2 linked regions of the Macaca mulatta genome follow. The protein of the gene in region 2 purifies or fractionates together with the protein of the main gene of each other region. This does not show direct contact. Links are inferred from orthologs where the notes say so. Each region holds a gene or a part of one and is shown on either strand. Other genes may lie near its edges.

Region 1 (3,822 bases), on a different chromosome or scaffold from region 2:
TCCTGCTCCTGTATAATAGAACCATTGACATTAACCACTAAATATTTAGTACTTAAGGAAGTTGAGGAAGCTCGAAAGGGAAGTTGTTCTATAAATTTAGAAGACTGACTGATAGGTAAATTATAAAGTGAGCTATGATGCATTCTTGAGTAAAATTCCATGGAGAATTTCAATTCTTTATTTTTCTTCATTATTTTTATACTGTCTTTCATATATACAAATGATGCTCTCAGAATTGTTTTTCTCCTGGTGCTACTATTGACTCAGCCTCAGTGGAGAGAATTCAGTCCTATGTATGCTTAGGTATAAAAAGCAAGCAATGTTTTCAGTTCTGAACTAGTTTAATATTGGCAAGTTCTGTTTCTTCAGATATTAGAGGTTTATTGAGTGCTCTTTTGTTTCAGTCTCAAATGATATGATATTTACATAGCAGGTAAATTGAGATGATTCTCTGTCCTAAATTTATGGTTTTTTGTTTTTTTTTTAATGCAGAAAAAAGTCACGTTAAATGGTTTTTTGGACACGCTTATGTCAGATCCTCCCCCGCAGTGTCTGGTCTGGTTGCCTCTTCTGCATCGACTAGCGAATGTGGAAAATGGTGAGTAGTTACTACCGAGCAAAGGTGATTTTTTAAATTATTGAAATTAGGCCATTAGTTCTACAGTTAGTAAGCCCAGGTCGTTGTTTTAGGGAAGCCTATTTAGTGCCTCTTAGTTTTGTTTAGGAGAGAACTAACCCATCTCCCTGTTCGGGAAGGCCTTAAAGGACCACTGAAAAATTAGGACTGTCAGTTCTAAAAACTTAGTAAATCTCATGGTGTTCTTCTTAATTACAAGTCAGGTGTGGTTAAAAGACTTGGCACAATAGAAGGCGAACTTCAACAAGGAGTGTGACATTATTTTGTATTTGTTTTAGATCTGAATTTCTCATATTTGCATACATGGCACTGATTATTTCTTCCCAGTTACTCAACCAGAAATAGGTGGGAGAAATGAGAAAAAAAATAGATGATAGCACCCTGTTAATCTTCAGTCATATGTTCCAGATTGTGAGCTTTCAATAGTTGTACTAACGTTAAAGATAAGAGTAAAATAACTTTCGTATCATGTCTTTTTTTAAAGCAAGTATTTCTAGGATAAAAGGAACTGCTGTTGGCATATCCAGATTTAAGTATGAAATACAGTTTGGGGCAAATTTTACAGAAATTTAAACATGGAACTGTTCAGTGCCTCCATCTCATCTTTAGGTGTTCCTACTTACTGTTCAATGTAACTCTGAAATTTCTCCAGACTTGACGAGGAAATAATTTAGTCTATATCTCTTACTAGAGATTTAAGTCTCTATATATTACTCAACTTCTGTGTATTTCTTTAATATACATTGAAACTAAAGTTAGCTTAATTTTAAATTATCATTCAAAATTTTGAGCATCTGCCCTTATTTATCTCAGTTAGTTAAAAGTTATGAATTTATCCTGTTTTTCTAATGGAGAAAATTTAAAGAATGAATTTACTTTTTTTTTTTTGCAATCACTAACAATCATAGCTTTTTTGTTTATCCATATGCAGAAGTGAAGAGCAATCAAGGTCCATGTTAGTATGCAAAATGAGTTCATGTTACTGTTTACAGTTCTAGAACTAGTCATTTTCCAATCATAAAGCTATAATTTCATTCCTTCTCTCTCAGCATTTCCTGCTGCAGGAGATCAGTTTCTCAGGCACTGTCCCAGAACAGTTGTCCCTAGATTCAAGTCCCACTCTAGTCTTTCTCAAGAGCCAGAAAGGAAGGTTATGACACTTGTTTAGAAGACAGTGCTTCCAGAGCTAGTTATGTCTTTGTTTTTACACTTTGCTTTTTATCTTCATTTATTATTATTTGTAGTGTTTTTCCTGACTGGTTAGGCCAGAGAATAGCTTTACCAAAGGCAAGAATTGTTATTGTCGTTTTAGTATCTAGCTCATAGCATGTAGATAATTACTTGGATTTGATCACTTAAATCTAATATTTTACTTTGCTTCAAATCTAGTATTTTGCTTTGCCTGCTTTATAATTCAAATTTCCTATCAAAGAAAGTTAACTGTCTCTTGAGGTATCTGAATTATTTAGAACTGTTTTCAGATAACTTACACATCTTTTTTAGGGCCCTATACTCCTGCCTCAGGAAAGAAAAAAAAAAAAATCTCTTTGTCAGATATAGGCAACACCAGTCGTTAAGTAAGCCATTAGTCACTCTATTTTTTAAAAAGTAACTTAATTCTCACATCCACATCCAGTTTTCCACTCTCTGCCCGTCTTGCTTTCTTTTTTCTTCCTCTCATTCTCCATGTCTCTGATATTTGCTCTCTTCCCACTGGACAATCGGCATTCACCCCTTGTGTTTCTGAGTCTTCCAGTGAGCTGTGCTGGTCTCCTGGAGACAGAGGGCAGTTTGGGGTAAAGGCAAGTCTGTTTGGGCAATTTAAATTCTTGTTAGGTGAGAGATGGGAATAGAAAGAGCAAATGGCATTACAGAGATTGTTGTTGTTAAAAGGACATCTCTTCTCCATCCCATTTCATTTCATTTCCCCACAGGCATGATTGAAAAGGGTTGTGGGAGAATCCAGGAATGAACTAAATGTTTTTCTGAGCCCAAATCAACTATCATCTGAAATCGTGGTGCAGAGAAGAAAGGTACAATTCCTGTAAGGCTGTATTTTTCCTTCTTCTGGTTCATACTTTTGTTTTCTTGTTTTTTCTTCACTTACTTCCCCCTTAGTCTTCCATCCGGTGGAGTGTTCCTACTGCCACAGTGAGAGTATGATGGGATTTCGCTACCGATGCCAACAGTGTCACAATTACCAGCTCTGTCAGGACTGCTTCTGGAGGGGACATGCCGGTGGTTCTCATAGCAACCAGCACCAAATGAAAGAGTACACGTCATGGGTAAGGCAAGGTCCAGGCAATACTTGGAGTTGGATGTGTGAGTGTTGCCCAGAATTAAAGGGAATATCAAGGATGGTGGCAGAATTAAAGGGCAAACTTACCTTCTATCCCAGGTCTAGTATTCAGTCCCCCTTCCTCCCACCCTCCACCCCACTGGGTGCTCTTACTTATTCTGTTGGAACCCAGTGTAGCTTCCTGAGACTTAAAATATAGGAAGACTCAAAACTATGTTACTTCTTGGAATATAGATAATTCAGTACCGATTTAAATAACAACTGAACAGCAAGGACCTTCTGGAACATAGTCTTACATTCACAGTAAGTTAAAATCTTTTCCAAGTTTTGTTTTGTGGAAACGGCTGAAAAATTATTGTTAGTTTTATTTTTCTTAGATTCTGGAGTTCTTGTAAGTGCATGACTAGAATATTAAAGAAACAAGTATGAGAGAGGAGAGTGTGGACTTAATAATACTGTTCCATTTTACTTTTCTGCAGAGGGTGGGGAGGGGAGATTGTGGTTATATTAGCAAACCATCTTTTCATGAAGAGTCTGAGTGACCAACCTGGCAAAGGTGGCATGTGAGTGTCTGTGTGATAGATGTCTTCTCAGGAGCATGTGGCACCAGGTCTGTGGGAGGAAATGTGACTCTGTGAGCTCATTGTTCAAGTGGATTATGATTTACGGACGTTTATCTTAGTTAAACTCAAAGATCAGTTCCAGCAGTGTTGCCCTTGTGCATCTCTTCAAGGATGGGTTTTTGTAGGGTGTGTAGATTGGATCTTGTGGGATATACCTTCAGCCCTTCCAGCACCTCTTGGAAAAGTTCTGTCACAAGAAAATCCAACCTATTTATGAGTTTTGCTATATTTTAATGTATTTCAATTCAACCTGTAGTCTTTAC
Region 2 (3,822 bases):
ATTAACTTGGTGTGAAGACAGGACTATGTAGTATTGATCTACTTTTCCATTTTGTAACTTTTATTTTAAAGCTTTCTCATGGTTTATTTTATTTCATGTATTGTATCTTCTGGAGCAAACTTCCACCTATTTAATAAGTAGGAATTCCTGACTGAAGAAATAATGATTCTGATATGAATACAGGGTGCTGTTATTTGCATTCTTTGTCTGCATTTAATGAACTCCATTTAGGAAAAAATAAAAGTTTACTTTCCTGGCTTCTATATTTAAAGACTAAATGCTACCTAGAATGTTTAGACAAGGGTGTTTTCCCTTGCCCTGTATCTCTGGTGCCCAGAATGTGTATTTGACTTTGCAAAGGGAAAAGGCTTGTAGGAATAATGCTGTGCTCCCCACGGGCAGGCTGCACGACGTGCTGATGGAACTACAGAAGAAGCAACTGCAGCAGCTCTCCACCTGGTTAACACTCACAGAGGAGCGCATTCAGAAGATGGAAACTTGCCCCCTGGACGATGATGTACAATCCCTACAAAAGCTGCTAGAAGAACATAAAGTAAATCTGTCTCGTATTTCTTTGATACCTTACCAAATATGAAAGAGCAGCACTTAGCATCTCAGAGGCTGATGATGTCTATCATTAACATGAAGTTGCAACACTTCTTCAGGGTTCTCTTCATTTAGTAGCTCACGGTGGAATTGATGGGGATGAGACTTTTCTGAGCCAGGGATAAAAGGGCAGGGTAAAATTTTATATGTGATGTGCAGTTTTCTTATGAAAGTACATAGCTTTCATACAACTGGAGAAGGGTTCTTTTGACCCTGTAAGTGGTGAAGAACCCTACCATTGCTGGCGTTCACACGGTGTGTGGGTGAAGAGCAAATTCTGAGAGGTGTCTGTACCTAAACCTTTAAGGAGAGCTGTTTCTTTGTCTGTGATCCAGGAAAGCATCAAGCGTTACGGGAGGAACTGATATTAGTTGGGCTTTTAATTTGGTCACAAGCTTAGGAGATAAACTTTTCATAGTTAAGATAAGGAAAGGTAGAATAAAATATGCTCTCTGTAAACTGAAGACTTTTATTGATCAGTGAAACACTGAGGTAACTGATGCGTAAAATTTTAGGAATACATTAAACACACCTCTGAGAAGCTTGTGAGAACACTATTGATAGTGTTTAAATACATTTTCTTTCTTTTCTTTTTTTTCTTTTTTTTTTTTTGAGATGGAGTCTTGCTCTATCACCCAGGCTGGAGTGCAATGGCAAAATCTCAGCTCCCCCCTGGGTTCAAGCGATTCTCCCACCTCAGCCTCCCAAGTAGCTAGGACTATAGGCGTGTGCCACCACGGCTAATTTTTTGTATTTTTAGTAAAGTTGGGGTTTCACCATGTTGGCCAGGCTGGTCTTGAACTCCTGACCTCAAGTGATCCACCTGCCTTGGCTTCCCAAAGTGCTGGGATTACAGATGTGAGCCACCATGCCCAGCCTATAAATTTTCTATACACATGTATCCAATGACTATGCTCTTCCCATGGAAAAGGTGAGAGAATCTAAAGTGTCCATACTTCCTTAGCCGCTTTATTGGGTAGCTAATCAGAGTAACTTTTGACTATCATGTAGCATTCTACTTATCTCTTTATACCGTCCTACACTAGATAAAATGATTTCTGACTTGGTATATTTAAGCTCTGGACTTTTTTGCTTTATCACCTCTACATTTTTGTCTTAATTCTTAGTATGGGCACTCAACTCCTTTATGCTATAAATTCTGAGGGAGGGTCAGAACTTGAATAAAAGTGGTGGTATCTCCATTTGCAGTCTGTTATAACATTGCATCCTCAAACTGCCTTTGTTGATAATGGAATGTAAAGATGTAAGATAGGATTAGTTTCATTAGTAGAACACTTGGGGTACTGACTGGAAATTTAAATACGATGCCTCATAACTGTCCTTAATTACTATTGACAACTGAGTGCATTTTAAATAGGTAAATGTGAAAGAGTAGAAATAATGGTTTATCTTAATTTTTTTCTCTAGAGTTTGCAAAGTGATCTTGAGGCTGAACAGGTGAAAGTAAATTCGCTAACTCACATGGTGGTCATTGTTGATGAAAACAGTGGTGAGAGTGCTACAGCTATCCTAGAAGACCAGTTACAGGTAAGGGCCCTGTAAAGTTGGATAATCCTGAGGGACCTGTGATCTGAGACCCAATTACATATTGCTCTTGTTCTTCATGTACTTTCTCATTCTTTATCCAGAAGGGTAGAAAAACCTACCTTTGGTTGTATTTCCCAGTTGGGATTCTACAGTGTGTGGGCTACAGGAGTACCCAGGTATTGATTCCTTTACTTAAGCTCTTGGGGTGAATGAGTGAGACTTGTTGCAGTCCCCAGCTTCCTTGTGCATAATGACAAGATTTAGAAGCACAGTGTATTAGTCCGTTTTCACACTGCTGATAAAGACACACCTAAGGCTGGGAAGAAAAAGAGGTTTAATAGATTTACAGTTCCATGTGGCTGGGGAGACCTCACAATCATATCGGAAGGGAAGGAGGAGCAAGTCATATTTTACATGGATGGTGGCAGGCAAAGAGAGAGAGCTTGTGTAGGGAAACTCCCTTTTTTAAAACCATCAGATCTCGTGAGACTTATTCACTGTCACAAGAACAGCAAGAAAAAGACCTGCCCCCATGAATCAATTACCTCCCACTGGGTTCCTCCCTTGAAACGTGGGAATTGTGGGAGTTACAATTCAAGATGAGACTCGGATGGGGACACAAGCAAACCATATCATTCTGCCCCTGGTCCCTCCCAAATCTTGCGTCCTCACATTTCACAACCAATCGTGCTTTCCCAACAGCACCCCCAAAGTCTTAACTCATTTCAGCATTAACTCAAAAGTCCACAGTCCAAAGTCTCATCTGAGACAAGGCAAATCCCTTGTGCCTATGAGCCTGCGAAGTCAAAAGCAAGTTAGTTACTTCCTAGATACAATGGGGATACAGGTAAAGAGTAAATAAATCTGTTCCAAATGGGAGAAATTGGCCAAAACAAAAGGGCTACAGTCCCCATTCAAGTATGAAATCCGGTGGGGCAGTCAAATCTTAAAGCTCCATAATGATCTCCTTTGACTTCATGTTTCACATCCAGGTCACACCTATGCAAGATGTAGGTTCCCATGGTCTTGGGCAGCTCTGCCCCTGTGGCTTTGCAGGAAATATCCCCCTCCTGACTGCTTTCATGGGCCAGTGTTAAGTGTCTGCGGCTTTTCCAGGTGCACGGTGCAAGCTATCAGTGGATCTACCAACCTGGGGTCTGGAGGACAGTGGCGCTCTTCTCACAGCTCCACTAGGTGGTGCCCCAGTAGGGACTCTGTTTGGGTCACATTTCCCTTCTGCACTGCCCTGGCAGAGGTTCTCCGTGAGAGCCCCACCCCTGCAGCAAACTTCTGCCTGGACGTCCAGGTGTTTCCATACATCCTCTGAAATCTAGGTGGATGTTCCCAAATCTCAATTCTTGACTTCTGTGTACCTGCAGGCTCAACACCACAAGCCAAAGCTTGTGGCTTGCACCTTCTGAAGCCATGGCCTGAGCTGTGCTTTTGCCCCTTTAGTCATTGCTGGAGCAGCTGGGATGCAGGGCGTCAAGTACCTAGGTACAGGGCATGGGGACCCTGAGCCCAACCCACGAAACCATTTTTCCCTCCTAGGCTTCTGGGCTTGTGATAGGAGGGTCTGATGTGAAGCCCTCTGACATGCCATGGAGATGTTTTCCCCATTGTTTTTGTGATTAACTTTTGCCTCCTTGCTGCTTATGCAAATTTCTG

What was found.
Region 1: the proteins of UTRN (region 2) and DTNA purify together in Homo sapiens (affinity purification with mass spectrometry; 3 studies listed by BioGRID and IntAct, with this or other methods). This does not show direct contact. The link is inferred for Macaca mulatta from reciprocal best matches to the Homo sapiens genes UTRN and DTNA.

Annotation. Positions count from the first base shown.
Region 1 is NC_133423.1:57,646,751-57,650,572, reverse strand, and holds part of DTNA (dystrobrevin alpha), read left to right. Parts: intron 1-492; coding exon 493-598; intron 599-2,755; coding exon 2,756-2,922; intron 2,923-3,822. UniProt on the Homo sapiens protein: May be involved in the formation and stability of synapses as well as being involved in the clustering of nicotinic acetylcholine receptors.
Region 2 is NC_133409.1:49,693,305-49,697,126, forward strand, and holds part of UTRN (utrophin), read left to right. Parts: intron 1-402; coding exon 403-553; intron 554-2,034; coding exon 2,035-2,154; intron 2,155-3,822.